3 linked regions of the Macaca mulatta genome follow. Each later gene encodes a partner of the first gene's protein in a complex. Links are inferred from orthologs where the notes say so. Each region holds a gene or a part of one and is shown in the gene's direction. Other genes may lie near its edges. The genes, in order: TUBA1A, PIERCE1 and CFAP276.

Region 1 (6,731 bases):
GAGACTCCATCTCAAAAAAAAGAAAGAAAGAAAGAGAGAGAGAGAAAGAAAGAAGGAAGGAAGGAAGGAAGGAAGGAAGGAAGGAAGGAAGGAAGGAAGGAAGGAAGGAAGGAAGGAAGGAAGGAAGGAAACTGCACAGAGAGCTATTCATTTAACTGAACAAACGTGGTGTATAACATCTACTGTAGTTAGGCACTTTGGCAGGAACTAGGACTTACATTTTAATGGAGGAGAAATGTAGACATGTAAATAAATGATTAAAATTCTATAAATACTATGAAAGAAGAATGTTTTATGCTAATCTTACTGTGTACAAGAATGAATCCATTAGCAGAATATTTGTACATGTATATTGATGTCAAGTTTTTTAAAATGGCAATAAAAATAAGAGGTGAACTAGTAAAGAAAAATAGTTTTGCTTTCCACAGTTTGTGTGCTATTAAATCAGATAATAAGGAACAAAAATTATAGATTAGTTATATCCCCTGATCTTTTGTTTATATATTTGAGATTATCAGTGCTCAAATAGTCTATTTCTGACCTAGGTCTTGTTATATATGCCCAAGCAGAAGGAATAACCCTCATTTACATAAGGAACAGAATGGCTCTGAGATAGAATTACAAAGAATCAACCACGTGAACACTCCTCTCTTTTATTTAATCTTGGGAAATTGCATAAAGAAATGAGACTATTGGGTAAATAACATATTTCTCAATTAATCTTTTTATATTGTAAAGAAAATAATATTCAAAGCTCTGCTTCTCATTCCAAAAAGACTTGTACATGTTGCTATGGTCCAATAGTGTCTGATATATTTTATGATTAAAATTGTGAAAGTATTTTGAATGAGCTACTTATTAATCCTTAGGCTTCCTTATGCCATTTAATTCTTATTTTTGTTAAATATATTTCTGGGTTCTGAAAGAAGCATTCAAATACCTAATCCTCCTGTCTCTTCTGAAATATGCTTTCTTTGTTTTTTTTTTTTTTTTTTTTTTTGCTAAAGAGGTGGAAATAAGATGATGTTGAATATTATTTTTTCCTAGGAAATATGTTACAAGTAGATAAAATGATTTTTGCATTTTGGATATTATTTTTTTTCCAGAAAATATTACTGAAGCAAAATTGAACAAGTAAAGCAGAACTGTGGATGGCAGGCTAGAAAAATTCGTGGTCGCCATTGTCACACCACAACCTGCAGCAGCTGTATTCTCAAGTCCCTCCCTCCCACGCCCTGCTCAGCCTGCCAGCCTGGCAGGAATGAATGGGCTCCGCAGAGTGCTGTGTGAGTAGTTGCTGCCCACCCTGAAAATCTGCCGCTGAAAACCAAAAGGAAAAATTATTTGTAAAAAATAAATTTCCAACTTTAGTGGCCAAACTTACTTACCTCTGAAATTTCATCACCAACATCCAGTGGTACGAAATCCAGTGACTCACTCTGCATAGCCCATCGTTGCTGAGAATGGAGCCTTTCTAAATAGCAAGACAATGTTACTCCAATTTATTTCCTAGGGGTGAAAGCAAAGCCTTTTTGTCCCAAGGGGCAACTGAGCAACCACCAGAGTCTCTAGTTGAATAGCAAGGGTGTGAGGCTGGCTAAAATTCCCACAGTCAGAAGCCCACTCGCAGGAGGATATTTACCAAATTGACATAAGAACTGCATAAAAAGTAAATGCAGTTATTGAGCTGATGTTTCACAGTTGTCTGTAGATGGAGGCAACATTGCAAAATAGTCTTCTTTTTACATTATATTATTCTCTTCTTCTTTTTAATTTGGTGTCTTGGTTATTACTATTATTTTGCTTGTTACTTTCCAGACAAAAGTCCAGTGCAGATATGTAACTGCACACATGTAGTACTAACTTCTGAGCTCAATTATTTCTCCTTGTATTTTCCCAATTTTATATCAGGAAAGATGATTCATTCCAAAGGACAATGCACCACACAAAATGTGTTACATAGACTTCTCATAAAGGAATACCTCTAGTAAACTATTATAACTACTCTACGTGCACTTGCTGTTGATTATTGCCATGTTAGAACTATTTGTTCGCTTCTTTATTTAGTATGGTTATTATTTCCATCTTCCAGTTTTATTTAGCTATTCGAGTGTGCATGTGCCTGCAAAAGAAGCTCTGAAAATAAGTTAGTTGAACCTGAGAAGCCATTTTGAATGACTGTATGACTAAATGTTTTTTTTAAATTAAAAAAAATCACAATTACCCAGACCGTTTTGAGCATTACGCCCATTTTCTCTCCCACTTTATTTTTAAAGCAATTAGAGATATTGAACCCTAACAAAATGTAGTCGAGTTTAATATACTGCGAGGGAGGGGCTGGCAGTAATTTTCCTTTAAATATTTAATCTGAACATAAATCTGTTATTAAGGGTAGGGGGAAAAAACCTCACATAGATAATTTTAACTGCATTTTGGGGTTTAAGCAACATAAAGTCTTCCAACCCCAGTCCCCTTTCTTCTTCCGCCCCTCCCCGACCCCACCCCATAATGGATGCTCGGCAGAATGCTTCTGCACGGTCTCTTTGTCTAAAGGATGCAAACAGTCTACGGATGCTAGAGAAAAAGGGGTGGGGGAGAGATTACCTCATCCCACGTCGTTTGCACCAATCACCAGTCTCCTGTCCTGGCTTCTCTGGGCAGATTGGGGGTCTGGACCAACAGGAACAGGCCCCGGCCCATCCCCATGGTGACCGAGTTGTATATATGGAGCCGCATCCGCCCATGTGCCGCAGGTTCTCTTACATCGACCGCCTAAGAGTCGCGCTGTAAGAAGCAACAACCTTCTCCTCCTTGTCTCCGCCATCTGCTCTGCAGTCGCGAAGCAGCAACCATGGTGAGAATCGGCTTTGGCTCTTTGTGGCCGTTGGGTGGAGTCAGCGCCCCCAGGCTCTGCTTGGAAAATCTTTAAGCTCTTTTCTTTCGTAAGCTCTCTGGGCGAGGGTGGTGGTGTGTTTTGTGAGGTTTAGCTTTACCCCAAATCCTCCAGCTCCGCCGCCGCCGCAGTGCGGGTGCAGGAACCCGGCCAGGACTGCGCCCAGGGCGCTGCAGAGCGCTGGGGAGGAACAAAGGCGGCGCCTGGGCGCCTGTGTTGTCCTACAGCCTTTCGGGGTCGCGGGCAGCCCGTCTGCCGCAACCGAGGGGTCTCGGGCGTCCCGGCTGGGTCCAGTGTCTGTGCGCACGGTTTCGCAGACGCCGAGGGGCCCCTTTCTGTCTCGCCTCGTTCTCTGGGGACCGGGAGAGGAGGAGGCACCCAAAAAGAGCGGGGGCGTTGGGCGAGCTGGGGGATGTGGGAGGGGGAACGGGAACAAAGCGCAGCCTGGGGTTAGCGTGGGAAGACCCCTCGCGGTCGTTGGCGTTTTGGAAAGATAACCACACATTCCCGGGGAAACATGGTGAGTTTCTACTGGAGCCCCCGGCAGCGGGTGTCAGGGCGGCGCAGGGGCGGGGTTGTTTGTTTCTGGCTTCTATGGCGTTGGAGCCACTGGGCGGGGTTCGCCCTCACTAAACCTCCTCTGTCAGGAGCTGACTTAAAAAAAACTTTTCATCATTGCGGAACTGTAGGCTCCAAAAGGGTTTTCTTCGCTATTATAATTAAGATGACCTTTTTTTTTTTCTCTTGAGCAAAATCACAATTCACTTGACAAACTCTTTAATGTCTGGTCTGGGGACGCCCTGCCCTGACCGACTGAAGTGTGTGTGTGTGTGTGTGTGTGTGTGTGTGCGTGCGTGCTGCTCGTTCAGCGAGGGAGAAAGCCTACTTTGTGAGCCCCAGGGTACCCTGATGGTCGTGTGTGTGTGTGTGTGTGTGTGTGTGTGTGTGTGTGTGTGCGCGCGCTGCTCGTTCAGCGAGGGAGAAAGCCCACTTTGTGAGCCCCAGGGTACCCTGATGGTCAGGACCAGGGAAACGCCCTTCCCCGCCGCCCCCCTCCGCCCCGCCCCCACCACATCAGCGAATAGACAATGAAAGTGGTAGCCCTAAAGACCACAGAGAAGAAAACCTCTATTGGATGCAAAGAATATGAATATTATGTGGTGGGTAGAGAATCTCAGGATTAAAATACTATTTTGTTGTTTTAAATAAATATTTCACTATCGTTCCACTGGGCTTTTATTCTTTGTTTGCTACCTTTTCATGTGATGCTTGTTTCTAACTTAGGAACGTGTGTGTGTGTGTGTGTGTGTGTGTGTGTGTGTGTTTTAAGATACGGATAATTTTTCAGCTTTTACAGTGGAGAAGATCTGGAAAAACCTTTTTCTTTAAAAAAAGGAATGAAATTGCTACAGACAAAGAATTATACTCCGCATCCCGTTGTCTTTTGTTCTAGTGCATCTTCATTAATTCATTTCAATTCAGGCACATGGTCCCGGGCGGGGTCAGAGGAGGAAAACTGGCAAAACAGCACAATGAGATCATGTAGGCAGTTGCTGGAAATAGAGCTTGCTCTGTTAAATAATGTAGCAGACAGTACAGGCTAGCACCAGGCACAGCAAATACAGCAATGCAGCAATGCAGAAGGCAGAAGCAGACCTTGTCTAAACCCCTTGTATTGATGGATTCTGCAGACAGACTGCAGAAGGGTGTGGCTTCTTGCCTCAGCTGCAGTACAGATGTCCATGTTATAATATCAAGTCAGTCCTATTCAGAAGAAACTTTCTTCTTTATTTAAAAGGGAAGAAAGCAGTAAAATTAATCCCAATTATGTCATAATTGAATTTACTTCATTTTACAAAATTTGTGCTTTGAATACTGAATACTTTTTAAATATGAAAAGTCTTTTATTCAAGCATGGTAGTAGGCACAATGGGCTGGTACCATGTGCTGAACAGGGCCAAGGCGACATCATTATTCAGACCACACCCATATGCAGCATTTGCAGCAGGTCATTTTCCTTAATCTTTGTATCGTGCTAGGGATGTGACCTCAAATAATTTTGAAAAATATCTGTATATTATTAGAAATATTTTTAAAAGTTTACTAAAAGTTTGAAATGCTAATACGCCTTAATTTTACAATTTTTTCACTTTTCCTTCCCACAGCGTGAGTGCATCTCCATCCATGTTGGCCAGGCTGGTGTCCAGATTGGCAATGCCTGCTGGGAGCTCTACTGCCTGGAACACGGCATCCAGCCCGATGGTCAGATGCCAAGTGACAAGACCATTGGGGGAGGAGATGATTCCTTCAACACCTTCTTCAGTGAGACGGGCGCTGGCAAGCATGTGCCCCGGGCCGTGTTTGTAGACTTGGAACCCACGGTCATTGGTGAGTTGACCTCAGTAACCCAAGTGAGATCCCAGGATGCTGGGACAGGAGGTCTGTCCTGGGGGGCTCCGCTAGTCACCCACTCACCCACTCCCTCCATCCTTCTCTCCCTCCTTCTCCAGATGAAGTTCGCACTGGCACCTACCGCCAGCTCTTCCACCCTGAGCAGCTCATCACAGGCAAGGAAGATGCTGCCAATAACTATGCCCGAGGGCACTACACCATTGGCAAGGAGATCATTGACCTTGTGTTGGACCGAATTCGTAAGCTGGTATGTTTCTTTTCAAGAATAAAGTAAATTAATGAGCCTAAAGAACACATTTGAAATACTGCTTTTTTTTTTTCAAACAGAATTGAACTGTTATTTTAATAAAGAGTGGAATGAGTCGTTCTTGTGGGGTTTTTATCAGTTAAAATGAACTATTTGGTATCATTTTGTAAATGTTAATGAGAATTTTTTAAAAAGCATTTGTCAAAATAAGATCTAAATCCTGGGAGATGTATGAAAAGTGAAAATATATTTCCTATGATTGTACTACAAAGAACAAAAACTTAACCTTTCCTCTGTTTCTCTCTTTTGTAATAGGCTGACCAGTGCACCGGTCTTCAGGGCTTCTTGGTTTTCCACAGCTTTGGTGGGGGAACTGGTTCTGGGTTCACCTCCCTGCTCATGGAACGTCTCTCAGTTGATTATGGCAAGAAGTCCAAGCTGGAGTTCTCCATTTACCCAGCGCCCCAGGTTTCCACAGCTGTAGTTGAGCCCTACAACTCCATCCTCACCACCCACACCACCCTGGAGCACTCTGATTGTGCCTTCATGGTAGACAATGAGGCCATCTATGACATCTGTCGTAGAAACCTTGATATTGAGCGTCCAACCTATACTAACCTGAATAGGTTAATAGGTCAAATTGTGTCCTCCATCACTGCTTCCCTGAGATTTGATGGAGCCCTGAATGTTGACCTGACAGAATTCCAGACCAACCTGGTGCCCTACCCCCGCATCCACTTCCCTCTGGCCACATACGCCCCTGTCATCTCTGCTGAGAAAGCCTACCATGAACAGCTTTCTGTAGCAGAGATCACCAATGCTTGCTTTGAGCCAGCCAACCAGATGGTGAAATGTGACCCTCGCCATGGTAAATACATGGCTTGCTGCCTGTTGTACCGTGGTGATGTGGTTCCCAAAGATGTCAATGCTGCCATTGCCACCATCAAGACCAAGCGTACCATCCAGTTTGTGGATTGGTGCCCCACTGGCTTCAAGGTTGGCATCAACTACCAGCCTCCCACTGTGGTGCCTGGTGGAGACCTGGCCAAGGTTCAGAGAGCTGTGTGCATGCTGAGCAACACCACAGCCATTGCTGAGGCCTGGGCTCGCCTGGACCACAAGTTTGACCTGATGTATGCCAAGCGTGCCTTTGTTCACTGGTATGTGGGTGAGGGGATG
Region 2 (6,631 bases), on another chromosome or scaffold:
CTGAAGGGACAGGGATGGACGCTGGACTCCGGCCTCCCATCGCCCTGTGCTGCTCTTGCAGGGTAGGCCTTGCCCTACCCGGGGCACCAGACTCCATACAGCCTTGCTGCCCAGACTGCCCAGATGGCTCCTTGGGTGGTCAGGTGCATGGGGGAGGGGGACCTAGGTCCTAAGCAGCTCGGGATGGGGCAGAGAGGAGGTTGCAGCTTGTCCCAGGAACACGGCTGTGTTCCCACAGGTGAGGGGTGTTAAGCGTCCCTGTCAGCACGTGCCCATCTTTCCTGAAACTGGGAACACACCAAGCCTGTTCTGATGAATGAGGCTGGCAGGGCTGTGGGCTTGTCAGGAGCTCCACTGCTGAAGACGGTGCCCTCTAGTGGCAGATGGAGCTGGCACCTCTGCTGACCTCATTCATGCCCCTCACACACACAGTGCCTGTCCCATCTCCCATCACTGGGGCCCCAGTGCGTGCCTGAGAAAAAAAAAGCCACACCACGTGGACGAAAGCAAACGCACTCGAGGCAGAACCCCAAACTCCAAGTCTCATTTTGCCCAAATCTGAGTTTTATTTTTGCTGGAATCAGGTCCTCTGGCCTGGCTGTCCCACCAACCCAGCTGGGAGCCTCCGAGCAGCTTGCCTGCAGCATCTCATTACAAAACAGCCCCCTGGAACCAGGCAGTCAAGGAAGCAGCCCACCTGAAAGGCATTTAGATTGAGAAGAAAAACTGCACCTTCCTGACAAAGGTCAGGGGTCAGGGTGAAGGGAGGGCTGCTCGGATCACAGGGACAGCAGCGTCTTCCAGCAGCTCGGCCACACCAGCCATTGAGGTCCTAACTGCAGCCAAGGGGCCGTCCTGCGCACATCGCTCACCCTCTGCGCTCTGTTTCCCACAGAGCAAATGCAGAGGCAACGTCGGTCTGCTCAGCCACTGGTTCTGAGGCGGAACAGCGGATGTCTGCACTGTGACGTCAGCTAAGTAAGTAACAAGGACTGAGGATGCCGCTGACCCAGGGCTGGGGAAGGGGACTCCCAGCTCAGACAGGCTTGGCTGTGGTTTGCTTTGGGAGGAGTTGAGTGAACATCACAGGGAACGGCTCACGTCGGCCCCAGGAGGGTGGGCTGGCCCCTGGGCCCCGGGCTCCTTCTGGGCCTGCAGGCGATACAGAGCCTCAACCTGCCGCCGCTTCTCCTTGGCCCGGGTGATGGTCGTCTGGAAGAGCCTGCAGTAGAGGTGCACGGCCGGCGGGGAGTCGTCGTTGCCGGGTATGGGGTAGGTGATGAGGCAGGGGTTGCAGTTGGTGTCCACGATACCCACCGTGGGGATGTTCATCTTGGCTGCGTCTCTCACGGCCACGTGCGGCTCAAAGATGGTGTTGAGCGTGTGCAGGAAGATGATGAGGTCCGGCAGGCGGACCGCGGGGCCAAAGAGGAGGGGCGCGTTGGTCAGCAGGCCGCCCTTGAAGTAGCGAGTGTGGGCGTACTCGCCACAGTGGCGGGCCGTGTTCTCAATCAGGTACGAGAACTGCCGGTTGCGGCTTATAAACAAGATGATGCCCTTGCGGTAGGCCACATGGGCGGTGAAGTTCAAGGCCAGCTGGAGGTGCGCGGCTGTCTGTTCCAGGTCGATGATGTCCTGGTCCAGGCGGTTCCCAAAGATGTATGGCTCCATAAACCTGCCAGAGAACCCACCAGGGCAAGGGGGATGAGAGTTCACCGGGCCAACTCCACTGGCCCCTTGCAGGACACAGACGCCCACCAGGGACTCCCGAACTCCTCTTCAAGGGTACTATGGGCTGGGAAGCACAGTTTGCAACGCTCCCCGTGTGGACAGACGGCAGTGCAGACCTGTCCAGGCCACCCCCCTGCACGCCTCATCTCATGGCTTAATCCCTCTGACCCTCTACCTCTTCCCGAGGGAATCCTAATAGAACTGACCCCATATGGATGTGTGGACATCCAACATGACACCAAAAGGACATTCAGCCCCGTGCGGCTCACGGGGCAGCCCCCTCCGTCACTCTCCTCTTCCCGAGGCTTTGAGGACAAGGTCCCGCTGGGGTTGGACTTAGGGGGTGCTCTGGGCCAAAAGCATTAAGGAATCAGGGCAGGAGTGGCCAAGCCTGGGAGGAGAACCCTGATCCAGGGCACTGGACTGCTGCCGGCCTGGGCTGAGGAAGAGCGGGGCATGGGAGGCACCCCTGCCTCTTGGTGCATGGCAGGCAGGTCATCCACGTTTGTGGTTCCCAGGTCCTCACCTCCAGTCTACTCCCACTGGGTTCTGTCCCTTCCTCTCAAGCAACCCTGCCCATCAAGACACTGGCGACCTCCATCTTGCCAAGGTCACACCCTTGAATTCACTTCTCAGCAGCATCAACAGACAACCACATCCCTCCACCCCCGGCCGTCCCTCTTCACTGACTCCAAACACTGAAGTGCCCAGGGCTCCACCTCCGACCTCCTTTTCCGATGCTCTGGAAACACAAGTCCCCGATGCTGATGGCTTCCTGGGAGCCCATCCCTCCTGGTACCCGTGTGACCTCTCCACTGGGGCAGCTAAGAGTTCACACCTCATAGGAACCAAGCTTGTGATGGCCCCCAGGTCCCCCCTGGTTTTTGCCATCAGTAACCGGCACCAAACTCCAGGCAAAGAGCAGGTGTTTGATCCCTTTGGCCCCAGCCACCTCCGACCCCAGCCCAAGGCCCACTGGCTCTACCCCGCTGCCTCATGTCCACCTGCTGCTCTAGCTCTTCTGCTACTGCGATTTAAGCCCCACCACCCTCGCCCTGGACACCCACACCAACTTCCTCCCTGGCCTCCCACCTGCCCCTCCCATCCCCTCTCCCTGCAACAGTCAAAATGACCATGTGAGAATACAGGACCAGTCACTCCTCCTCCCCACAGCCCAGAAAGCCCCGCCCAATCCAGGGGGGGCCAGCCTCACAGGCTCTGCCCTCAGCCCTTCCATTTCTGAACCTGTGGAGTTCTGCATCCCCCAGCAGGCCTGCCCTACTAAGGGCTGTGAGCACCACCCCAAGGCACACAAGAGCCCCCGCCAAGCTGGGGAGTGAACTGCTGCTTCTGTGTGGGGCTCCGTGTTCCCATGTGGAGGAGGAAGGGCTGTAATCACCTAAAACTGACACGGGCCAGTTCAAAAGTGGCCCTAGAACCAGGGCAGGTCCCAGGTCCCAAGCCCTCCTGGGAACCGCTACAGCTCAGATGGGGGTGTCACCTACCTGTGCCGACAGCCAGCTTTGTGTCCCAGATGCACTCGGGCATCAAAGAGGCTTCTCACGGAAAACAGTTCCTTGACATTGAAGAAGTCAGAGTGCTTGAGGGGCTCATTCAGAATCTTGTCGTTGAAATCTACGGCAGGGAGGAGGAACGACGCTGTGTCTCCCACCGGTGGCAGCAGGGACAGGCAGAGCACAGTTCCCGCCCACCCCTGCTCCCAAGTGCCTCCTGTGACACCGCGGTGGGGAGCCGGGAGCCCCCCAGCCCCAGGAAAGACCTGGAAGCACAGGGACCTTTTCAGGAAACAGAGGGCTGGAGCCAGATTCTGATCCCGACCTTGCTCCTGGGTGAGCCTGGTCGAACCTGGTCAACCCCGTCCCTTGGTCTTACTTGGAAGACAGAAGAGAAAAAGAGAGGGGCCCAGCGGGTTTCTCAGGTCTTTCTGGCACCTCCCCACCTTGTGGTCTCAGGTGGCCAGCACGGGAGTGGGAGGAGCCCGGCCGGGCGCGCAGTTTCGACCACGTGCAGCGCCCAGGTCCCTGCAGGGTTCGCATCTCCCGCGGCTGCCGGCCTCTCCTAGTTCCTACCTGACTCGGCTGCGCGCCCAGTGTCACCGGTGCCGTCCTCGGACTCGCGGATCACAGGGGTCGCAGCGCTTCCAAGCGTCCTGCGGCTCGACCGAGCAGGTCCGGAGGTCGCCTTCCCGAGGAACCCCAGCCAGCGCGACGGCGCCCGGGCACCTGGGGGGAAGCAGACAGACGTCCTGGCGCCGCGTCCCGGGTGCACCACGCCCGCCCCCACCGCAGCCCCAACGGATCCCCTCTGCGTCCCCGCGCCCTCCTCGAGTCCCCTCCGCGTCCCCGCTGCTCCCTCGGGTCCCCGCGCCCCCTCTGCATCCTCCTCCCCAGGGACCCGCAAGCGCGCGCTCACCCGCGCCGAGCATTCGGGGCAGCGCGGCCGGGACGGTCGCCATGGCCGGGACGCGGGGCGGAGCGAGGCCTCCCTCCGAGCCGGGCCGAGCGGCCTCCCCTCCCGCCGCCGTCCGCGCGGGGCCGCAGTGCCACCTACAGGCCCGGAGGAGCCACAGCGCCGTCCGCGGGCGGCTGGGACCTCCCTGCGGAGGCGGGGCAGACGAGGGGGCAGGGCCCGGGGTCCCGGGCTTGAGAGTCTCGGGCCGGGAGTGGGGGCACCGTCCTCGCCTTGCAGCTCGCCCCGCCTCGCTAATGGGCCCCACCAGCCCGGGAGGCCCCTGACCTTTGGGGGAGCCCGCTGGGCGATGGGGACCCTCGCCTCCCGCCACGTGAGCTGTGAACCACGTCCCGCGCAGCCTCTCGCGCTCCAAAACTGTTTTTAATATTTATTTATTTATTTATTTATTTATTTATTTATTTATTTATTTATTTATTTTTTTTGTTTTGTTTTGTTTTTTTTTTGAGACGGAGTCTCGCTCTGTCGCCCAGGCTGGAGTGCAGTGGCCGGATCTCAGCTCACTGCAAGCTCCGCCTCCTGGGTTCACGCCATTCTCCTGCCTCAGCCTCCCGAGTAGCTGGGACTACAGGCGCCCGCCACCTCGCCCGGCTAGTTTTTTTGTATTTTTTTTAGTAGAGACGGGGTTTCACCGTGTTAGCCAGGATGGTCTCGATCTCCTGACCTCGTGATCCGCCCGTCTCGGCCTCCCAAAGTGCTGGGATTACAGGCTTGAGCCACCGCGCCCGGCCATGTTTTTAATATTTAAACGATATTTGACTTAGGAGAATTTCATAAAGTTAGCAAGATCTCGGGTCTCAATTTAGACTCGGGGTGCTGAGGGGCATATCATCCCTGGAGTACATTGGACAGCAAGCGTCCAATCGTTGTCTGCCGAGTGGACCTGCAGTGCTTAAACCCCATCACCCGGCTGGCGGGGTCCCAGGCCCTGGGGTTCCTTTCGCCCGGGAGTCCACACCCTCATGCTGGGGTGACCCGGTCCCCTCGCGGGTGGCTGGGGGCCAGGGGCTGCCCCATACAACGGTCCCAGCAGGGAATCTCTCGCCGTCCCGACCTTCCCAGTCGTTGGGGACTCGCTCGGCAGGTTCCCGACCCGCCCGCGGAGGAGCACCGCCCACGCGCGGCGCCTTTAAGGCCCCTCCGCTCCGCCCCAGTCACGTGACCTGGCCGTCGCTTGGCAACAGGACGCCGCCGAGTCCTGCTTTTCGACGCGCAATGGCGGAGGAAAGCCCCAGAGCGTGCGCGGAGCCTGTGGAGCCCAAGGCCACGGCCCCGCCTGAGAGGACCAGCGACTACTACCGCGTAAGCGCGGACCTGCCGGGCAGGTTCAACAACCCAGGGTGGTTCCGGGGCTACAGGTGAGGAAGCTGGGGCGCGCCTGGTCCTGGCGTCCACTGCTCGATAGCCCCGTGTGTGAGAGACCCCGCAAGACCCCCAAGGTCCTAGCTGCAGAAATCAAGAGGATCGAGGGGTCATCCGGGGCCCGCGCTGTCATCGCCCACTAGTGAGCAACGAAAGTGCTCCCCAGAGCCTCATACAAGGAAGTGGGAATAGGGTCAGTGAGAGGCAGGGCCGTAGGGGGGAGAAAATCCAGTTGTGGTCTCAGCTCTACTGTTTTGTGTCGGGTGAGTCTCCTCGCCTCTCTACCCTGAAACCCCGCTGCGGGGCGTGAGCACAGCAGCACCTGCAGCAAGTCTACTCAGCCAGCTGTGAGCTGCCACAGGGCATTGCAGGCTAAGAAGCAGTAAGAAAATTCCTGTAGGCAGGTGCAAGCATCTTGCCGTGCTCACACATGTGGTCCCTCAACAGTCCTCTAGGGCAGGGTCTGTTAGTATCCTCGTTCTCCCATTGAGACGACTGGAATGTAGAAAGAACAACTTGGCCAAGATCTAGGAGTATAAAGTAGAGCTAAGGTGTGGGCCTGCAGCCTCTCAGTAGCCTGTCCTACTGACAGGTAGGGGCAGTGGTACCGAGAGAAGCATCACCTCAGCGAGGGTGGGGGCTAAAGGCAGAGGGACCCTCTGGGTGGCAGAGTCTGGAGGCCAAGCCTCCGCTCCTGACAGGCTAAGTTACCCAGAAATTGCAGCATGTGCCAAGGTCCTGCCAGGGCTGGGGGTCAGCACTTGCTGGCTGCCTGCTCTTTAGGGCTTTGGCCTGCCTTGGAAGAGCAGGGACCGTGGTGAGCAGAGGGGGCAGGGGAGGCCGGGCCATTCAGAACGGTCATCAGCCAGGTACTCCCAGAGGCTGCCTTTGAGGCTGCATCACCAGCCCAAGCACATTGCTCTTTCTTTGGGGGCATTTCCAGTGGAGTGCTGTCAACCAAATGCAAGGCTGTGGCTTGTGCAGAATTAGATTAAATGAACGAAAAGAGAGTGTTTCTCATCTACCAGGACCCAGAAGGCTATCTCGG
Region 3 (6,731 bases), on another chromosome or scaffold:
TGAATTGGTTTTTCACCGTGTGGGGTTGGAAGCCCCCAAACTTGTTTGATCAGTTCATATTGCCAAATGAATACTATAATAATGGGCTTATTCTCTCCCTGATTGTTTTGGAGTTGAGGGTGTTCAATGGCCACTGTTTGCTCAAGGAGAATGTAAACAGGACTTGCTGACGCCTGCGGTCAATGGGCCTGCCTCCTAAGCCATTTCCAATCTGGCATGAGTGTGGATATAATGGGAAAGAAGCTGAACAGGGAAGAAGGGCAGGTAACTCTATTTTGTGTTTCCAATGTATTTTCTATTTCAATACTCAAAGCAATCCTTTCTGAGGTAGGTGTTATTTTGATACCCATTCTACAAATCCAAAAACCATGTGGTAAGTAACAGGACTAAAACCCTGGTAGGTTGAGCTCCATAGCTTTCCACTACCCTAAGCTTACTCTTTGCGGTAAGACCTTTTGCTTAGGCAAATATTGGTTATTCAAACAAGACCAAAGGCAAAATTCGTACGCAAGTTCAAGTTCTCAAGTATCAATATTCTTCTCTTCCTCCAAATCAAGATAATAGAAGTGCTTAATTTCTGAAATGTCTCATATTTTCCATTGTTGACAAAGATCTCAACAAGAATTGGTAGTTAAACTGTATGATTCTTACCTTCCACTCAGGAGACTCCCTTGTTTGATTCTTAGGCAAGTGGGCTTTCTTCGTCTCATTATTTTGGTTGGTTAGACCACAGGCCATCAAGGCCGGTGAGCCAGAGTCACTGATAAGATCATCCTGTTCTCTGCCATCTCTAAAACAGGTCATTATGTAGCTGGGTGGAAATGTAGATGGCCCAGGGCAGGTTGTCATTGAGGCTAATAAAGGTTATCAAAAGTCCCACTCACTGGGGTCACTTATATCATATTCATGAATCTTCAAAATCAAGTATCTTTATTCACACAAAAATCCTTCCCCCCACACCTGACTTCTTTATGACCTGCTATACTGTAGACTCAGAACATCTTTATAAGAATATATCTCCATAAGGGATGGAGTTATTGTTGGCAATCAGTTCACACTAACAATTTATAAAAAATATTCTGGACTGGGTGCAGTGACTCATTCTTATAATCCCAGCACTTTGGGAGGCTGAGGTGGGAGGATCGCTTGAGCCCAGGAGTTAGAGACTGGCCGGGGCAGTATATTGAAACCTCATTTCTATTTTAAAACATATATATTTTAAAGTTTTATATATATATATATACACTAACCTCTCAAAACCTTAGTCCTTCACATTCCACAGAAATAACAGAACTTTCATTTTGCCTTCCCCAACGTAGTTCTTGTAAATATCTTGTTGCCTCTGCCATATGGTTTCTAAAAAAGTTGCTCAGAGCACAACCAAATATCGTTATTTCAATAATAGAGAAAAGACTGTTTTGTTGCTCCTAGTGCCCTTTTGCATTCTTCCAAGATGACTTTTCAAAAGATATTTTTGGTTATAAGACATTGACTACCTATTGTCTGAATTCTGCTTCCAACATTTTGGAAATACCTTGAAAAAGACTTTGACATATGTTAGCAGAAGTCAGAGAGGAGACCAGAGGTTGGCAGAACACAAGATATTGAAGAACTCAAAATCTGCAGAAAGGTGAGTCGTGTGCTGTCAGGTACACTAAACATAGTACGCTGCGGGGAGGCCAAGCTATAAGGAGAAGCCACATTTAACAGTCTTCACTAACCGATGTTTAACAAACAAGGAACTAGAGAGCTGGGATCCTATCATCCCTCTCGCACATCTCCCACCTTCACACTCCGTTTTGTGTAGCCATGATAAAATCACTTCGCTCCGGTACTTTTTTCTGGCCTTCCTAACTCCTTTCCTCTCCCACTACTCTCCTTTCCTCTTCCTATTTTGCCTCTCTGTGCATAATCTTTTGTTGTCAACCACTTTTAAGATGAATTCATCCCAGCTGGAAAACAACTCGTCTTCCTCCCTCATTCTGAGTTCAGGTACCCAGGTAGCTCCCCTTCTTGGGGCTGGGACCTTTCTCGCTGAGCTCAGCATCCCAAGCTGTGAGGTTGATCTATCCGTGAGTCCTCCAATGTGCTGGCCTCCTCATGACGCCAGACTGGCTCCTCTTCCCTCCCCCCATGCCTCATCCCCAAAGAAATCTAAACTCTGTGGCGTCTGAAACTCTCTGCGCCTGTGTCCCCAAGGTCTCCGCCTGGATCCAAGACTTTTGTGACCAAAGCGGGGTCGGGTAGGGGGGCGGCAGTACCTCTTTGCAAGCGTGAAGCTCCGGTCCGGTTCCCTGGGTCACCTGGAAGGCGGTCCCAGCCCAGAGCAGCAGCCGCAACAGCCAGGGTGTGCGCCTCTCAGTTGTTCCCCTGCCTCTGGCGGAGAGACGGTGGCCAGGCTCAGCCATAGTGTTGTCCTGAGTGAGCGGCAGTAGCGGCTCAGGTGCTGCGGCTGCTGCTTCTGCTGGCAGAAGGCGGAAAAAAAGGGGAGGGAGGTACACAGGGAGGGGATGCAAGAGGCCAGGCTCGCTCCAGTCACCTCCCTGCGGCTACGCCAACACCGCCCATCCTTCCTCCTCCCTCAGTCCTCTCCTCCTACCCACGTCGCCTTGACAACCGCCTCCTCTCTGGCTCTGCGCGGGTGGGGCAGGGACCACGCGCGCCTCTGTCGCTCACCTGCGGGTCGCCATGGCAGCCGCCGCAGCTGGTGCGCGCGGCGTGGGCGCGGGAGAGCGCGCGCCCGGGGTGCGCAACCGGCCCAACAGGCATGCCCCGGGCTCGTGTGAAGAACGCGGTGGAAGCATCCTCCAGGCCAGCGCCAACAAATTTCCGTTTTCTACAGCCCTTTCGGGCTAGGGGTTATTTTATGAGCATATCTGATTTTGTACACGTGGCATGTGAACCGAGAGAAAGAAGATGGAGAGAGCACCCTCCAGAAGTCGTCGCCTAGAAGAGGCCCCAGTACGTGTTCCCTCCTACGAAGGCCACTCTTGGAGATCTTACATCCCGCCAAATCCATCCGTGCTTTTACAACCGGCTAGATGAGAAGCCCTGACACTGCAGTTGATCGGAGTTTAAGCAAGGAGTTTGCCTTAGCCGCAATTTTCCAAGTACCGCACGTGCCCCCCCCCACCCCGTCCCCCGCCCCCAGACAGGGTCTCACTCTCTCACCCAGACTGGAGTGCAGTGGCGCGATCTCGGCTCACTGCAACCTCCGCCTCCGGGGTTCAAGAGATTCTCCTGGCTTAGCCTCCTGAGTAGTCGGGACTCCAGGCGCGTGCCACCAAGCCTAGCTAATCTTTTTCCTATTTTTTGTAGAGACGGGGTTTCGCCATGTTGCCCAGACTGGTCTCGAACTCTTGGGCTTAAGCGATCCGCCCGCCTCCGCTTCGCGAAGTGCTGAGATTAGAGGCGTGAACCACCGCGCCCGGCCCTCTTTGGTCTCTTGACATCCTCATTCTCTCATGGCTTTGAAAGCCTTTTGTTAGGTGCGAGCCAGAAGGAAATTTCTGGGTCATCTTTAAGGACTTCTTTCCTCAACTGAAATCTTTTGCAGAAGTCGTGATGGTGAGCGGCCCGCGCTTTTCCGCCGAGGCTCAGGAGTGCAATTCCAAGGCTCGGGGCCCACTCAGCGGCGCTTTCCCTCTGCATTCCCCGGAGCATCCTCCCCAGAGGCCTCCCGCGGTCAGCCGCCAGGTGGCGCCCTCCTCGGAGGGAATTCCTCTGTCTTAGATGGCTGGGCAGTTGCCTGGCAACCGAAACCAGCGTTTCAAACAATTGGGACCCGGGATCATATGCGAGTGAGGCTGTGCTGCGGCTGAGCGGACCTCCCATCCCTCTTAGAAGAGTTAGGCATTTAGCCATGCCTCCCACCCGGGACCCTTTCCAGCAGCCTACATTAGATAACGATGATTCCTACTTAGGAGAACTGCGGGCTTCCAAGGTACTGTGGTTTCTTGCGCAGATTCCTAGTAGGGTCACCGATAGTCTTCTTTCTGTCAGTGTGATGGGCAGAGATGGTAACATAAAGCACTCTGGTGAAGACACTCAGTCGGGTACCAGAGAAGTCTGTTTTCTGCCTGCCTCCCTATCTCCATATTCAGGTTGGCTAACGTTTCAGAGGAGTTTTTGAGCAGGGGAAAGTAGAGCTCTAGTCTAGAAGAACAAGGGGCTCTGGCAACTCAAATCAATTGTGAGTATAAGTTATGGGAGGGCCCAGGTTCCTTCAAGCTACCCATTTCCCTGTTGGGAAGACTGTTCTCTGAAGAGAAATGAGATATGGAGTGGGAGAGAATCCTCTGAAAGTCACCAGAGGTCATGCTTTATACATCTGTGTTCACACTGTCTCTGTCTTCTGGTTAACACCACAATGTGTTTGTTATGTGTGTGTTTAGCATGATGGTGGTCACTGATTTAGGAACTTAGATGATCTTTTTTCTGGTAGGAGTGATTGGGATATTTGAAGTGGTGCACAATAAGATGAATTAAGTGGTAATTGTTGTCTAATAACAATATTAAGAGCCCCTTTTTATTTATTCAATACTTATTTACTATAATCCAGACACTCTGCTAGACACCAAGGATATATAAATAAATTAGATGTAGCTTCTGCTGTTAAGGAACTCTAGTAGTAAAGATAGACCGACAATAGCAAAAATGCTTGCACAACAGCACATGTTGTGACAGAGTTGTGTGTAGGGTGCCGTGAGAACCAGGAACTTAAAGGAAAGCTTCACAGAGCAGATGCATTTTGATGTCCAAATATGAGTTAGGTAGGCCAGGTGAGGGAGTGGGTAGAATATGAGTTAGGAAGAAGGAAACAGGAACCAGATATGCAAGGCAAAGGGAGCAGCAGGTGCAAATACATGGAAAGGAGAGAGAGAATGGCTTGTCTGGGGAACTGCAAATAATCCAGAAGGGCTGGAGTGCAGGCATGAAATGGAGGCACTCAGAGATCAGAGCTGGGAGATGCCCTTGGTGGGCTGGGTATGCTGTGTACACCATGCTAGCTAGCTAGCTATGGTTTCATTCTAGGTATGTGAGGAATCATGGTGGGATTTTTTTTTTTTTTTTTTTTTTGAGACAGGGTCTCCTTGCTCTGTCACCCCAGCTGGACTACACTGGTGCAATCTTGGCTTACTGCAGCCTCGAACTCCTGGGCTCAAGCAATTCTCTCAACTCAGCCTCCCAAGTAGCTGGGACCACAGGTGGTGCCACCACACCTGGCAAATTCTTATTTTATTTTTTTGTAGAACCAGGATCTTCCTTTGTTGCGCAGGCTGGTCTCAAACTCCTAGCCTCAAGTGATCCTTCTGCTTTGGCCTCCCAAAGTGCTGAGATTACAGGCATGAGCCGTAGGTCCCAGCCCCATAGCAGGATTTTAAGTACCAAGTGACACAATCAGATGGGTGTTTTAGGAAGCACAAGTGGCAGCAGACTGGATAGGATGAGAGTGAGACAAGAGGGATCAGTTAGGAGGCAAGTGAGGCGATCTCCAGGAGGAAGAGTAATGGATCTACAGCAGTACCACAGGGGATGGAGATCAGGTGCAGATGTGAGAAAAGTGCACAGGGCAGGACTGACAGGACCTGGGGACTGACTGGATACGGGCCCAAGAGAGGAGGTGAGTCTAGGATAACTGCTAGGTTCCTAAGGGTTTAATTCTGAGGGTTCACTGAAATGGGGCATCCTGGGGAAGCAGGTTTGGGGAGAAAGATGTTGAGAAACATCAATTATGTAGACGTTTTTGTAGTCTACTGTGGGACATTTAAGTGAAGATCAATAGTAAGCAACAGGGTTGAGAGTTCTGGATTGAAGATGTATGATGGAGCTGTGTATCCATATGAGCTACGGTATCCATATAGTAGTTGAAGCCATGGAAGGGAGTCAGCTCATCCAGTGGATGTGAGCATAAGAAAAGCAAAAACGAGACCCTTGGAGAATAGCACTGTCTAAGGGACAGAGAGAAAGTGGAGCTGAGACAGTAGCTGAGAGATAAGGGCCAGAAATAAGAGGAAAACCCAGAGGAGCTGGGCCCACACAGCATGGTGTGGGCATTTGAGGGAATCAGCATTATGATGTCAGAAACAGCTGAGTTCAAATAAGATCAGGCCTGGAAAGGATCCACCTGAACTGGCCACAGAGTTCACTGATAACTAGCAAGAGCAGTTTTAGGGGGTGCTTGAGGCAGAGGCCAGACTACAGTGAGCTAAAGAGGGCATGGGAATGGTGAGTGAGGAAGTAGAGAGAGTAAATATTGACTCCTGAAAAGGTCTGGTTGTGTAGGGAAAGTGATAGGCTGGTAGCTAGACCATGACAAAGAAATGAAGAGAGGCTTGGGTCAGAAAAGAGCATATGCAGAATGGTACAGGTCTCAGAAGCACGGGGAAGTGTAGGTCCGGGGAGTAAAAGGGACTTTCCTTTCCCTGAGATGGAAAGAAAGTGGATGTAAAGATGACATTCGTGCTTGACAGTCTGGACTTTCTCAGTGAAAGACAATCTCATCCTTCTGCTGACAGAGATGACGAGGTTTAAGTGGTCTTCAAGGAGAGTGGGAGGAGTGCTGCTCAGGGCCACATCAAAGGATAACTGAGCCTATGCTGGCATCAAATACCTGTAGCTTTCTTTCTTTCATACTTCATTATTCTTGGTGATAGCACAGTGGCTGATACACACTGTTCAATTAAGGTATGACTGTAATTCCAGGCGTTTGGGAGGCTGAGGCAAGTGGA

The links.
Region 2: the proteins of TUBA1A (region 1) and PIERCE1 are in contact, whole or in part, in a cryo-EM structure (PDB 7UNG), measured with the Homo sapiens proteins. The link is inferred for Macaca mulatta from reciprocal best matches to the Homo sapiens genes TUBA1A and PIERCE1. Residues at the interface, in NP_001257328.1 of Homo sapiens: Met1, Arg2, Gln15, Asn18, Ala19, Glu22, Cys25, Leu26, Glu27, His28, Gly29, Ile30, Gln31, Pro32, Asp33, Met36, Pro37, Asp39, Lys40, Asp46, Asp47, Ser48, Asn50, Glu77, Gly81, Thr82, Tyr83, Tyr224, Thr225, Asn228; in NP_001041730.1 of Homo sapiens: Tyr28, Pro35, Gly36, Arg37, Phe38, Trp43, Phe44, Arg45, Gly46, Tyr47, Arg48, Thr58, Ser59, Asn60, Gln61, Ala62, Tyr63, Gly64, Arg66, His71, Glu72, Pro74, Phe77, Tyr78, Pro79, Asn80, Ser81, Asn82, Lys83.
Region 3: the proteins of TUBA1A (region 1) and CFAP276 are in contact, whole or in part, in a cryo-EM structure (PDB 7UNG), measured with the Homo sapiens proteins. The link is inferred for Macaca mulatta from reciprocal best matches to the Homo sapiens genes TUBA1A and CFAP276. Residues at the interface, in NP_001257328.1 of Homo sapiens: Lys112, Glu113, Ile115, Asp116, Leu117, Leu119, Asp120, Arg123, Lys124, Asp127, Arg156, Ser158, Val159, Asp160, Gly162, Lys163, Leu195, Glu196, His197, Ser198, Asp199, Tyr262, Pro263, Arg264, Trp346, Lys430, Asp431, Glu434, Val435, Val437; in NP_001231954.1 of Homo sapiens: Pro43, Trp44, Arg46, Leu47, Asn48, Thr50, Pro51, Thr52, Ile53, Thr54, Ser55, Arg57, Arg58, Ala60, Tyr62, Asp64, Ile67, Pro68, Lys69, Asp70, Asp71, Phe74, Arg75, Lys90, Ser91, Leu94, Leu95, Asn96, Lys98, Thr99.

What each region holds. Positions count from the first base shown.
Region 1 is NC_133416.1:56,350,368-56,357,098, reverse strand, and holds the start of TUBA1A (tubulin alpha-1A chain), read left to right. Parts: upstream 1-2,761; 5' UTR 2,762-2,851; coding exon 2,852-2,854; exon of another isoform or gene 2,855-3,410; coding exon of another isoform or gene 3,411-3,413; intron 3,414-5,058; coding exon 5,059-5,281; intron 5,282-5,403; coding exon 5,404-5,552; intron 5,553-5,867; coding exon 5,868-6,731. UniProt on the Homo sapiens protein: Tubulin is the major constituent of microtubules, a cylinder consisting of laterally associated linear protofilaments composed of alpha- and beta-tubulin heterodimers.
Region 2 is NC_133420.1:7,004,230-7,010,860, forward strand, and holds part of PIERCE1 (piercer of microtubule wall 1 protein), read left to right. Parts: intron 1-546; exon of another isoform or gene 547-1,083; coding exon of another isoform or gene 1,084-1,675; intron 1,676-3,236; coding exon of another isoform or gene 3,237-3,366; intron 3,367-3,821; coding exon of another isoform or gene 3,822-3,974; intron 3,975-4,164; coding exon of another isoform or gene 4,165-4,207; exon of another isoform or gene 4,208-4,235; intron 4,236-5,421; exon of another isoform or gene 5,422-5,431; 5' UTR 5,432-5,436; coding exon 5,437-5,579; intron 5,580-6,611; coding exon 6,612-6,631. Other genes in the region: MRPS2 (small ribosomal subunit protein uS2m), read right to left, coding at 1,084-1,675, 3,237-3,366, 3,822-3,974, 4,165-4,207. UniProt on the Homo sapiens protein: Microtubule inner protein involved in the attachment of outer dynein arms (ODAs) to dynein-decorated doublet microtubules (DMTs) in cilia axoneme, which is required for motile cilia beating.
Region 3 is NC_133406.1:131,102,342-131,109,072, forward strand, and holds the start of CFAP276 (cilia- and flagella-associated protein 276), read left to right. Parts: upstream 1-3,601; 5' UTR 3,602-3,862; coding exon 3,863-3,943; intron 3,944-6,731. Other genes in the region: endosome/lysosome-associated apoptosis and autophagy regulator 1, read right to left, coding at 2,262-2,408. UniProt on the Homo sapiens protein: Microtubule inner protein (MIP) part of the dynein-decorated doublet microtubules (DMTs) in cilia axoneme, which is required for motile cilia beating. May play an important role for the maintenance of myelin-axon integrity.